Linked DNA regions of Oryctolagus cuniculus. The protein of the gene in region 3 interacts with the protein of the main gene of each other region in a pairwise test. Links are inferred from orthologs where the notes say so. Each region holds a gene or a part of one and is shown on either strand. Other genes may lie near its edges.

Region 1 (3,035 bases), on a different chromosome or scaffold from region 3:
CGACCCTGCGGCGCCCCACCCGCGTGGCCCGCGCCAGCCAATCAGCGCGCGTCTCCGGGGAGGTTTCGCTAGCCGGAGGGGGCGGTGCCGCTCGTGATTGGCCAGAGCGCGGAGATGGGCGGGGCGCCGGTCATGGCGGGGTTTTTGGATTTCAAACCCGCCAGGCGGGCGGGAAAGCGAGCCAGAGTAACTGACCCGGGGGGAGAAAGGTCAGGAGCGGAATGGCGGGCGCGGGCTGCTCCGGGCTCTCAGCGCCTTCAGGGTGGAAGGGAGAGAAGGGCCGGGCCCTCGCCGCGCGCTCAGCGAGCGCACCGCCGAGCGACGTTTGAAATAAAACGCGGACGCGGGTGTGGCTGAGGGAGCTGGCGCCTTTCTCAGTCACCCCGCGCCGGCCCCGCGGATGGGGGGTGTCCACCACGTGGGGACCGAGGACTTGGCACCTGCCTGAGGCGCCCCCCTGAGGAGCGCGCCCGGCCGAAGAACGGCGCGAGGAGAAGCAGCTGTTTTTATTTTTTAATTTTTCAGAGTAGTCAGGGCTACGGATCCGACCAAACGGGCCCAGTGAGGGGGTCGCGGGGAAAGGCGGGCCGCCGACTTGGGTTCCAGGGACGGCCCCGTGGGAGAGGTGACCGTGCACCCAAAGAGGACGCAGGGAGCCGGGGCTGCGGAGGGGCAGGGGCCCTCAGGGGCGGGCGCAGGGGGGCTCCGACTGGGGAGGGGTCGCCCTCAGGGGAGGGGTCGCCCTCAGGGGTGGGCGCAGGTGCGCAGTGGACCCGGGGGGGCTCCGCCTGGGGAAGGGTCGCGGTGGGCCTCCCGGCTCACCGGCGCCCTCTGGCGGCGGTGGGGGGTTCTGCTCCCTGCGTGGAATAGTCACTCCCATTCCAAGGGTTCAGGGGTGTCCCTGGCACCACACCGCACCCCCAGTCCCCAGCCAAGAACCACACGGCTAGGTGCGCTGTTTTAACGACACCCTAAAATGGAACAGCAGCTATGGAGGAGAAGGGTCCCCAGTACCCCCCTAAGGCAGGTCATTGCAAAGGCACTTGTGGGGGGGGCTTCAGGCCTCTCCGGTTTCTTCATGTAAAATCGGGGGTGGGGTAGGGCAGTCCCAGGAGCAAGAGAGGCAGGGGGACCACCTCCCCACCCCCCACCCCCAGCCCATGCTGGGAAAGGAGGGTGCTGGGAGCTGGACACTGGTCACACACATGTGCACACGCACACACACGCTCTCCCTGCGTATCTGTAGTCAGGGCCTGGGGAGACGGCGGCCCCACACTTGAAGAGCAGCGTCCTCTCGCTCCTAGCTGGTACGGAGCTGATAATCTGCAGAGGAATGAGAAGCTGAGGATGGGGGAGGGGGCAGCCCCACCCCCAGCCCAGCCCACCCCAGCAGGCCCCAGCCAGCGTGACCAGCCCAGCCAAGCAAGGGGCTACTACGTCAGAGTGCCTGCATCTAGGAGACCCGGTTCCCGCTCACACACACCCCCAGGAGGCGGCAGTGGCCCCAGCACGTGGGCCCCCGGCTGCCACCCACGTGGGAGACCCGGGCTCACTTCCCGGTTTCTGGCTGCAGTCTGGCCCAGCCCCGGCCACCCTGAGCGTTTGCGGAGAGAACCAGCAGATGGAAGAACTCTCTCTGTCACTGTGCCCAGGACAGCGCGGCCAGAAAGGGCTGCCCTGTTAGGCTGGGAGCTGTTAGAGCCAGAGCGAGGGCCAAGCGCGCGTCCCCACCGCGTCCCATCCCCTCGCCCCGCAGCCCTGGGGGGCCCGGCTTGCTCACCGCCGCTCTGTGTGATGTAGCGGACCCAGGGCAGGGCCTGGTACCCACTCTTCTCAATGATCTTCATGTACCGGACCTGGTAGGGGAGGGGACAAAGCGAGGGGTCTGGGCTTGGGGGAGCGGAGCAGCCGGGGCCGGAGAAAGCAGCAATGGTGGCCCAACCTGGCAGGAAGCAAAAGGGTGCAGGCAGGGGTGGCCCCGCACAGGGGAGCAGGCAGGCTGGGGTGGCTCCCACATGGGGAAGCAGGCAGGCTGGGGTGGCCCTGGTGGGGGGGGAGCAGGCAGGATGGGAGCAGAAGGGGAGAAGGCAGGAAGGATGGGGGGGCGGGGGGATGGGAGAACTGCAGGGACCTGAGCTAAGGACAGGGAAGTGGGGGGCAGCCCGGGGCCCAGGAGAGCCCCTCCCTGCCCACTGCCCTCACCTGGATCCCGGAGACGGTGAAGTACGGGATCTCAAACTTGACCCCGATGGGGGGCCGGCCCTCCACCTCCTCCTTCTCCACACTGGGGAGGCCGAAGTGGGCGCGCATGAGGTACTCCTTGCCCCCCTGCGGGTACACGGGGGCATCAGACACCCCAAGGGGGCCCCTCCGCACCCCACCCCACCAACATGGGAGACCCGGATGGAGCTCCTGGCTCCTGGCCTCGAGCTGGCCCAGCCCTGACCATTTGGGGAGTGAACGGGGGGGGGGGGGGTGGAAGATTCTCTCTCTCGCTGCCTTTCAGGTGAACACAATATTTGTAAAGGGGTGGGGGAGGACTCTGACCCCAGGGCGGGAGGTGAACCCACACCCCTTCGGCAGCCTCAGTGTCCCCGCCCGCCCGCCCCGGGCTCACCGGGAAGGACTTGATGCTCCAGATGACCACGTTCTTCTCGGGCACGTACTTGGCGCTGCCCACGCTCGTCTTGAAGCGGGGGGAGTCGGCGTCGCTGGGCACAGGCACCGAAATCTCCACGCCGTTGGCCACCGACTGCTTCTTGAACTGGCCCTTGGCCTGCCCGGCGAGAGACGTGGGGCATGAACAGACCCCTCGCGGGGCGGGCGTGGGGCACGGTGCTCAGGGTCCTGCTTGGGGTGCCCACGCCCTGTATCATGGCGGAGCCTGGGTTCCAGCTCCCTCCTGATGCCTGCCCTGTGAGGTGATGGTCCAAGCGCTTGGGCCCCTGCCACCCACGTGCAGGACCCGGATGGCACTCCAGGCTCCTGGTATTGGTCTGGCCCAGCTCTGGCTGTTACAAGCATTTTGGGAGTGA
Region 2 (3,500 bases), on a different chromosome or scaffold from region 3:
CCAAGTGCAGAGCAGCCAGGACTCAAACCATGACACATTGCCTGCCCAGGACAAGAAGGGCTACAGCACAGGGGGATCCTACTGTGTTTTTTTGGGGTAGAGGGCAAAACTTAATTTGGATGGAAGAGTTTTTGAGTAAAAGTATTCGTTCTTTTTTAACCACTGTTAAGCCTGTTGGATAATTACAAGGTTGAATGCCATTACCTGCCTTAAGTAGTGTCTAGTCTTCCAGGGACAACACCCTGGGGGCAGACCACTCAGCAAACTTGGAAGGTTCTAGTGATGACTTTTCTAGTGCAAAACAGTTAAGAAAGTTAGAATTTTGCAGTCGTAAAGGTCATCTCACCATCCTTAAGTAAATGTGCAGGGTAGATCTTAATTGTTTAATGCAAGTAAAAACAACTGAGAAAAGCTTAGCAATCTGCAGGAATTTGTGCAGAAGGAAAGAAAATCACGGGGTCTATGACCTACTTAAATACATTTCCTCCTGGTTGAGTGTTCAGTCTTTGTGTTGTGAGTCCACAGTTGTATTAAGCTCAGGCCATTTTTTGTTGTTAAAAGGAGAGATGTTTGCCTGTTGGCTGGCCAGCAGTATTTGTTCACGTAGGTAATGTGTTCATCTAGGTGGTTGGTCTGTAATAATTCATATTTTTTCCTTGAGCCAAATTCTTTTTTTATAGAGTGTGACTGGGGTGGATACATAAAATACTCTTCAGTGGCCACTATCATTTTTGCTTTATGGACAAAAAGGATGTTACACTTTTGTTTCAGTTTCCTTATGATTTGTGACAGTTAATTGTTCAGAGATTACCTAGTCTTAACGTTCTAGTCATTGTATGATTATTTACCTTGTGTTCATTCCTTTTTTTTTTAAACCTGCTTTTCTTGGCTTATTATTGTGCATGAATGGGCAAGTAGGAATTTGAAGAGACTGATTCTAGTCCCTTGTTGTAAAACTGTTAGGGTAAGCTCAGCAAGACAGCTAATCTTCCTAGTTGGACTCGCTCATTTATGACATAATAGAATGGAGAGGTTCAGTTAAAATCCCTTGAATTTTCTTCTTGATCAGAGATTGTGTTATAAGTTTGAAATGGAGCAAGAAATAGGGGCACAAATGTAATCAAAACCAAGTTCAGTGTTATGGTTCCTTCTCACACTTACCAATCTGACCTGAAGCTTGTTGTAAGGCAGAAATATATTGAAATTGGAAATACTTTAGAGAACAGCATAATAAAAAATATTAAGAAACTTGGTTTTTGTTAGTGTGTGAATCCTCAAGAGCTGTCTTCCCGTGACTCATTATAAAGTACCCACCCCACTGTAGGTGCTGTTGAGTATTGACAGCAAGGATCAGTAAGTTAAAGCAGAAGTGTAGTCAAGCAGAAACATTTATATGGAATTAATTATTGGCTTGTTTTGAGGTACAGCAGATCAGGACAGCAAGGACACAGATAAACCTAACTCCTGAAATGGATCTCCAACAAGAAACACAGGAAGATTTCAGAGAATGGCTGGAGGCTGTTTTCAGAGATAAAAGAAGACAGCACATCTATTAAACAATAGCCAACAAGAATAAACAATACAAAAAGCAACAGCGGCAGACCAATTAAGTTCATCTTTGAAGCTCATGCAGGAGAAAACCTGGGGAGACAAAGCATCTTACGAAAACCAAGGCGTTCAGGATGGAAGACTGAGGAAGCTGCGTGAATGGGAAGAGGACCCAGCAGACTCAGGAAGCCCCGCAGTAGCCTTTCTTATCTGTGGCCACACTGTGTGCGGTTTCAGTTACCCGCGGTCCGCTGCGGGCCAAAAATATTAAATGGAAAAGTTCCAGATAAAGTTTGTAAGGTTGTGAGTAGTGCAGTGATGTCTCCCTCCGTCCCGCTGAGGCCATGAGTCGTCCCTGTGTGCAGTGTGTCCACACTGTGTCTGCTGCCCGCCTGCTGGCCACGCGGTAGCCCTCCTGCTAATCAGATGGACTGCCTGGGAGCTCACAGTGCTCGTCTTCCACTTCTTATCTTGCTTAAGGATGGCCCCAAAGCGCAAGAGTAAGGATGCCGGCCATTCGCACCTGCCAAAGAGAAGCCGGAAAGTGCTTCCTTTAAGTGAAAAGGTGAAAGTCCTTGACTTAATAAGGAAAGAGAAAAAGTCCTATGCCGAGGTTGCCAAGATCTACAGTAAGAACGAATCGTCTATCCGTGAAATCGTGAAGAAGGAGAAGGAAATTCGCGCGAGCTTCGCTGTGGCCCCTCAGAACGCCAAGGTCACGGCCACAGTGCGAGACAAGCGCCTGGTGAAGATGGAAAAGGAGCTTAGTGTGTGGGTGGAAGACATGAAGAGGAGGCGCGTGGCGATCCATGGCAGCGTGCTGCGGCAGAAAGCCCTGAGCCTGTACGCGGACTGCAGCCGGGGGTCCCCCGACAGGGGCGAGGGGCTCCTGGAGAGAAAGCCGTTCACCGCGAGTAAGGGCTGGCTGCACCGGTTCAGGAGCAGGTTTGGACTGAACACCGGGAGCATTCCTGGAGGGGCGGCCTCCGGTGAGGAGGCGGCGGCCGTGGAGTTTCCTGCAGAGTGGGAGAAGTTGCTGAAGGAGAGAGGAAGGCGCCCCAAGCGCGTCTCCCACTGCCGGGAAGGCGGGCAGCAGGAGGGTGAGTACAGTCCCCTGAGCTGTGCCGAGAGAGACCAGGGCACCTAGCTTTGTTGCAGTGTGACAGTCACCCGGCCTTCCTACAGGTTACTGCTGCTGTGCGTAGTTTGTAAACTGTGTCCCAGGCCTGTGTGTTGAAGACAGAGGATCTGCACTTGCAGACGTGGCCTGGGGGGGGTTCCTGGAATGTTTACCCAGGAGATGAGGGGAGACTGCCGGTATTACTGGTGCTAGCCTGTGCCTGCCTACTTTGCCTTTTTGAGAATTGCCTGCCTCTATACCTTGTGGCTCTAGCTAGAACATTCCTAACAGGTGCAGCCTGTGTGATCTTGCTTTGAGTTGCCGGAGTAATTGGCATTGGGGAAGGCTTGTGACACAAACACTCAGGTCTGTTGTGCAGAAAGCACCACAAAGGTATCTTCCTTTGCTTTTGGGATCACAGCACGGACGTGTGATGAGCGTGAAGATGATGTGGCCACAGGTGAGGTGTCCTGGGAAGGCTGTGGGCCTGGGTCTAGGTTCAGGGGGAGTCTGTGCGGCTTTGCCACTTAATCAAATGAAGCAATAACAGTTCTGAATTTATAACATCACAGTCTCAGTTCTAAGTTATGAATTCTCCTTTTTTTATTTTAAGAATTATTTATTTGAAGGCAGGGTGACAGAGAGAAGAGAGATCTTTTATCTGCTGGTTCATTCCCTAAATGGCTGTAAATAGGCTGGGTTGGGCTGGGCTGAAGACTTGAACTCCATGCAGGTCTCCCACGTGGGTGGCAGGGCCCCAAGTGCTTAAGCCATCTTCTGCTGCTGTGGCAGGCACGTTAGCAGGGAGCTGGATTGGAAATGGAGCTCCAGG
Region 3 (4,402 bases):
TGCACTCATGTGGGAGAGTGGGAAGAAGCTTCTGGCTCCTGGCTTCTGATTGACGTAGCTCTGACCGTTGGGGCCAACTGGGGAGTGAACCAGCGGATGGAAGATCTCTCTCTTTCTTTCTCTCTCACTCTCTCTGCCTCTTTGTAACTCTGCATTTCAAATAATAAATCTTTAACAAAAACTCTGCTCATCCAGCAATAATCAGTTTTAACATTCTGTTGAACATTTTTCTAGCCCCTCCTTTTTTTTTTTTTTTTTAAGGAAATTTATTTATTTGAAAGACAGAGGTCTTCCATCTCTGGTTCATTCCCCAAATGGCCACAATGGCCAGAGCTGAACCAATCCGAAGCCAGGAGCCCGGAGCTTCTTCCTGGTCTCCCACGTGGGTGCAGGGGTCATCCTCTGCTGCCTTCCCAGGTACGCTAGCAGGGAGTTGGATGGGAAGTGGAGCAGCCAGGACTTTAGCTGACGCCCATATGGGATGCCAGCACTGCAGCCTGGGGTTTTAATCTGCTGCGCCATAGTGCCAGCCCCTATTTTTCCAGCCTTTTTGCATATGCAGTCATGTCGCAGGTATTGTTTTGTGTACTTTTTAAGCTTAACCGTTTTATCAAGATTTTCTTGCATTATAAAATATTCTTCGACAACATTATACAGTTCTCTAATTTATCACAAATGTTTAATTTCCAACTTCTCCTATGTTAATAACAGCATAATAATACATAAGTGTTATATGAAGTCTTTATATACTTCAAATTACTTCCTGCAGAATGAAACTTCAAAATATTTTATTTTGATACTCCCAGAATTGATGGGCAAAAATTTGGAAGAAAAAACCCCAACCCTCTCTCTTCTCCCTCACACCCTCACATAAACCTTAGGGAGAGCCTGGTTCGCTGACAGTTTCCTGCGCCCTCGTCAACTTTTTCCTCCAGTTTTAGATCTTAGAATCTAGGGCGTAGTTCCCGAAAGCGCCTTACTTTTGTGTTAGTAGGTCTACTACATTCTCAGCATAGTGCTTCTTTATCTCATTTAAGCTTCACAAGACAAGAAGACTAAGGTTATTAAACTACTTTCCCAGTCGCACCGGGGCAGGGAATTGAACTCACGAACTCACATGATGCCGCCTCAACCTCTTTTCCTCGCATCACTGCCTATGAGTTCTGGGCTGGATCACTGTTGTTTTCTGCTGGACCGCCTGCCAGGGAAATTAGCCGATGTTTTAATTTTTTTTTAATAGAAGGGAACAGGATACTTCAATTCCTTGCGAGGAAACAATTCCAGCGAATTTCAGCTTGTTTAATATATCCCTTGGAATAGCCATTAACCATCCTCTGAGGCCCAGGTCTCCAAGCCTTGCCTGAACCAAGGCTGGGTGGGGGAGGGGAGGGCAGGACGCTTTTTCGTCTCCAAGGTAACGGGTCGCCGCCTTTCTGGTTCTCCCGCGCACTCCGACTACGTCACGCGGCGAGGTTCTCTGACGTCAGGGTTTCCGGCCCACCATCTTTGTCGCTGGCAAAGTGGGTTTTGCGCAGTGGCTTAGACCTAGAGAAAGAATCGTGACGGGCAGGAAACCATTACAACACCACCCGGGCTGTGCTCTCTGGCTGCTCCCGCCACCCCCGCCCTTGCCTCCGGTGAGTTCAAGGCAGCTGACTCTGGGGTGTGTGTTCCTTAATTGATTGGGGTGGGGGAGAGGGAGGAGATCCACAGGCTGAGTCGAAGGCGAGCGGAGGCGAGGAAATCTTAGGAGCGTGACCGTTGAGGGTGGAGGCAGCCGTCGGGTGTGACCGTTGTGAGGAAAAGGCTTGGAGGAGAGGTCTCCGCCGCGGTGGCTGTGGTGGGCTGAGGGAATCCTCGGGGGTGGCAGCTCGAGGTGCGTGGGGGGAGGTCTGTTTCCAAGTCGGGGTTCGCACGGGCCAGAGGCCAGGGGTGTGGCCGGAGGCCGAGGGGAGAACCTTCCTTCTTCCCCCTTCGCCGACGTGCATTGAGAGGCTGGGACGTGTCCAGCGAGCGAAAGGCAAGAGGGATTCCCCCGAAGCTTTGCCCGTTAATGGACACACCTCGCGCGTCTCCGTAACTTGAGGCTGGGGACACCTCTCCCTTATCTCGTAATGGAGGCCTCCCACCTGGAAGCAGAAGAGCCATTCCTGACACTTTTAGGGAAACCTCCGGAATCGGCCCGATGTGAGAGGGGAAGCGGTACATTCTCTGCTCGGATTTTTTTTTTTTTTTCTTTTCTGGATTTAGCAGGAACAGTCTGGCTTGGGGAAGGCTGCAGACGAAGGCAGAAGTTCAGAAATTGGAACTTCCTGTTATTTTCATACTCTCTGAATCCAAAGATTTTAAGCTGCTGGGTTGTTTTCATAGCAGGGGAGGCCAGGCTGTTCCTGTGCTCGCTCGGCCGCTTCATTATGAAGTGTGGATGTTTCGTAAAACTTTGACCTTTCAGAAAATACGCCTTTTTTTTTTTAACTGTCAAACTCCGTTACCACATAGTATTGTGGTTTAAAAGCAAAAGTAAAGAAATACGCTCGGAAAGGCAGAATGACTAAGAAGGAAGGTGGTCTTAATGAGGAACGGTTAGTTCCCGCCCGGTGTAGGTCCGCAGCGTAGCCTCGGGGTGCACTCACACAGTAATAATAGAAGGCAGCAGGTGAAGGAGGTGCAGGTAACACGTTGTAAGGATGACTAAGCCTGGTGGGGAGGTGAGAAGCCTTCGCAGGTAGCTTAGCAGTTGGAAGTCCCCAGGGGAGCAGACAGGCGCCTGTGTTCTGCCAACAGCCTTGCCCACGTTGAGTGGCAAAATGGATGTAAAGCTCACTCGTTCTCTTTGAGTCCGGGACGTTCAGGTCTCTCATCCTTGTTTGTCTTCCCCTTTAAGGCCCATATTGTGAAGTAGTATGTCTCAGGTGCGGGTTTGAACCAAGGACAGGTTCTCCATTCCTTCTTCCCTTCCTCCCAGGCTTACATTTTCCGGGCTTATGATATTTCAGTTAAGAATTGGAGGTCAAACTTTGAGCTTTCTTTCTGTGTATTACTGTATTAACTTTGCAGTTTCTTGTATTTAAATAGAAATCACAGGTGATTTTGGCTTTTCAGGGTTTGATAATTTCTTATGAGCCAAATGATATTTAAAGATACTGTTGTCTTTTCACTGTTGTTGAATATTTAATTAGAAATGGAAACAGCACCTCTCCCGTTATTTTTATTAAAAAAAAGATTATTGGAATGACCTTTCTGCTTTATAATTCTGTTAATTTGGGCCAGTTTTTCACTTTGAACCTTAAATGTGTGAATCTCAAATTTATGTGAAAAGAAGGGCTTAGTGAGTTCATCAGCTCTAATTTGGCCACCATTTCCCAGAGAGCCGTTTAAAATTAAGATCCTATTAATTTTTTTCTGCCCTTATTTTACCCAAGCTATTAATCTTACGTCAGTCTTTGCCTTTTGGGGAACTGAGGGGAGGAGGGAGGAATAGAAGAGGGACTTTCACAACCTGTATCTGGCAGAAACTAGGCTGTGTTAAATCTAGATACATCATCCTGTGCGGGAGGCCCTCCCGAAATGCAGGGACATCCCTCTCTGGACTGGGCCAAGTGAGAGTGATTATGCGCTCTGACCCTGGAGCTTTGTTGTTCAACAGTGGCCCTGGGCCGACCCTAAGTCTTCAGAATGTCCAGTGACTTGTCTGATTTAATCTGGTAGAAAGATGATGTGGGCTTAAATTCCATCATGGCTTTGCTTATTTCTGGAGCTCTCCAGAGAAATAGTTTTGTTTTTGTGGCAGGAATTTGACTTTTTAAGGCACATCAGCAAATACTTGCTTGTTTGTTTTTGTTTCTTGAACTCCATCTTGTCTACTTTTCTGTGACCTCCTATACAGACTTCAGTTTTCACCATCCTGAATTTTAGAGAATCTTGGCTATGTCCATATTTATCAAATGATTAACTATATCTCATCTAAAACACAACTTTTTTAAGGTGAAATTTGCATAACATAAAATTAATCATTTTATAGTGAACAGTGGCACTTTTGGTACATTCACAGAATGGTGCAACGACCACCTCTTCCCATTTGTTTTTGTTGAGACTGTTTTCATTTTTATTTCTTTTTTAAAATTAATTAATTTATTTTAAAGTCAGAATTACAGAGGGAGAAGGAGAGAGACAGAGAGTGAGATCTTCGATCTGCTTGTTCACTCCTCAAATGGACACAACAGCCAGGGCTGGGCCAGGCTGAAGCCAGGAGCCAGGAGCTTCATCTGAGTCTCCTGCATGGGTGCAGGGGCCCAAGGATTTGAGCCATCCTTCGCTGCCTTTCCAGGCACATTAGCAGGGAGCTGGATCAAAAGTGAAGCAGCCAAGATTGGAATCAGTGCCCATATGGGATGCAGGCACT

Evidence for each region. The genes of interacting proteins can lie anywhere in the genome.
Region 1: the proteins of AP2B1 (region 3) and AP1M2 interact in binary tests that used the Homo sapiens proteins (3 or more experiments, as listed by UniProt). The two-hybrid records come from large-scale screens. The link is inferred for Oryctolagus cuniculus from reciprocal best matches to the Homo sapiens genes AP2B1 and AP1M2.
Region 2: the proteins of AP2B1 (region 3) and GTF2I interact in binary tests that used the Homo sapiens proteins (3 or more experiments, as listed by UniProt). The link is inferred for Oryctolagus cuniculus from reciprocal best matches to the Homo sapiens genes AP2B1 and GTF2I.

Annotation. Positions count from the first base shown.
Region 1 is NC_091447.1:66,911,940-66,914,974, reverse strand, and holds the end of AP1M2 (AP-1 complex subunit mu-2), read right to left. Parts: intron 2,777-3,035; coding exon 2,618-2,776; intron 2,329-2,617; coding exon 2,203-2,328; intron 1,857-2,202; coding exon 1,781-1,856; intron 1,324-1,780; coding exon 1,301-1,323; 3' UTR 501-1,300; downstream 1-500. UniProt on the Homo sapiens protein: Subunit of clathrin-associated adaptor protein complex 1 that plays a role in protein sorting in the trans-Golgi network (TGN) and endosomes.
Region 2 is NC_091450.1:49,792,679-49,796,178, reverse strand, and holds part of GTF2I (general transcription factor II-I), read left to right. Parts: intron 1-1,427; 5' UTR 1,428-2,029; coding exon 2,030-2,648; intron 2,649-3,500. UniProt on the Homo sapiens protein: Interacts with the basal transcription machinery by coordinating the formation of a multiprotein complex at the C-FOS promoter, and linking specific signal responsive activator complexes.
Region 3 is NC_091448.1:39,031,239-39,035,640, reverse strand, and holds the start of AP2B1 (AP-2 complex subunit beta), read left to right. Parts: upstream 1-1,466; 5' UTR 1,467-1,637; exon of another isoform or gene 1,638-1,876; intron 1,877-1,883; exon of another isoform or gene 1,884-2,202; intron 2,203-4,402. UniProt on the Homo sapiens protein: Component of the adaptor protein complex 2 (AP-2). Adaptor protein complexes function in protein transport via transport vesicles in different membrane traffic pathways.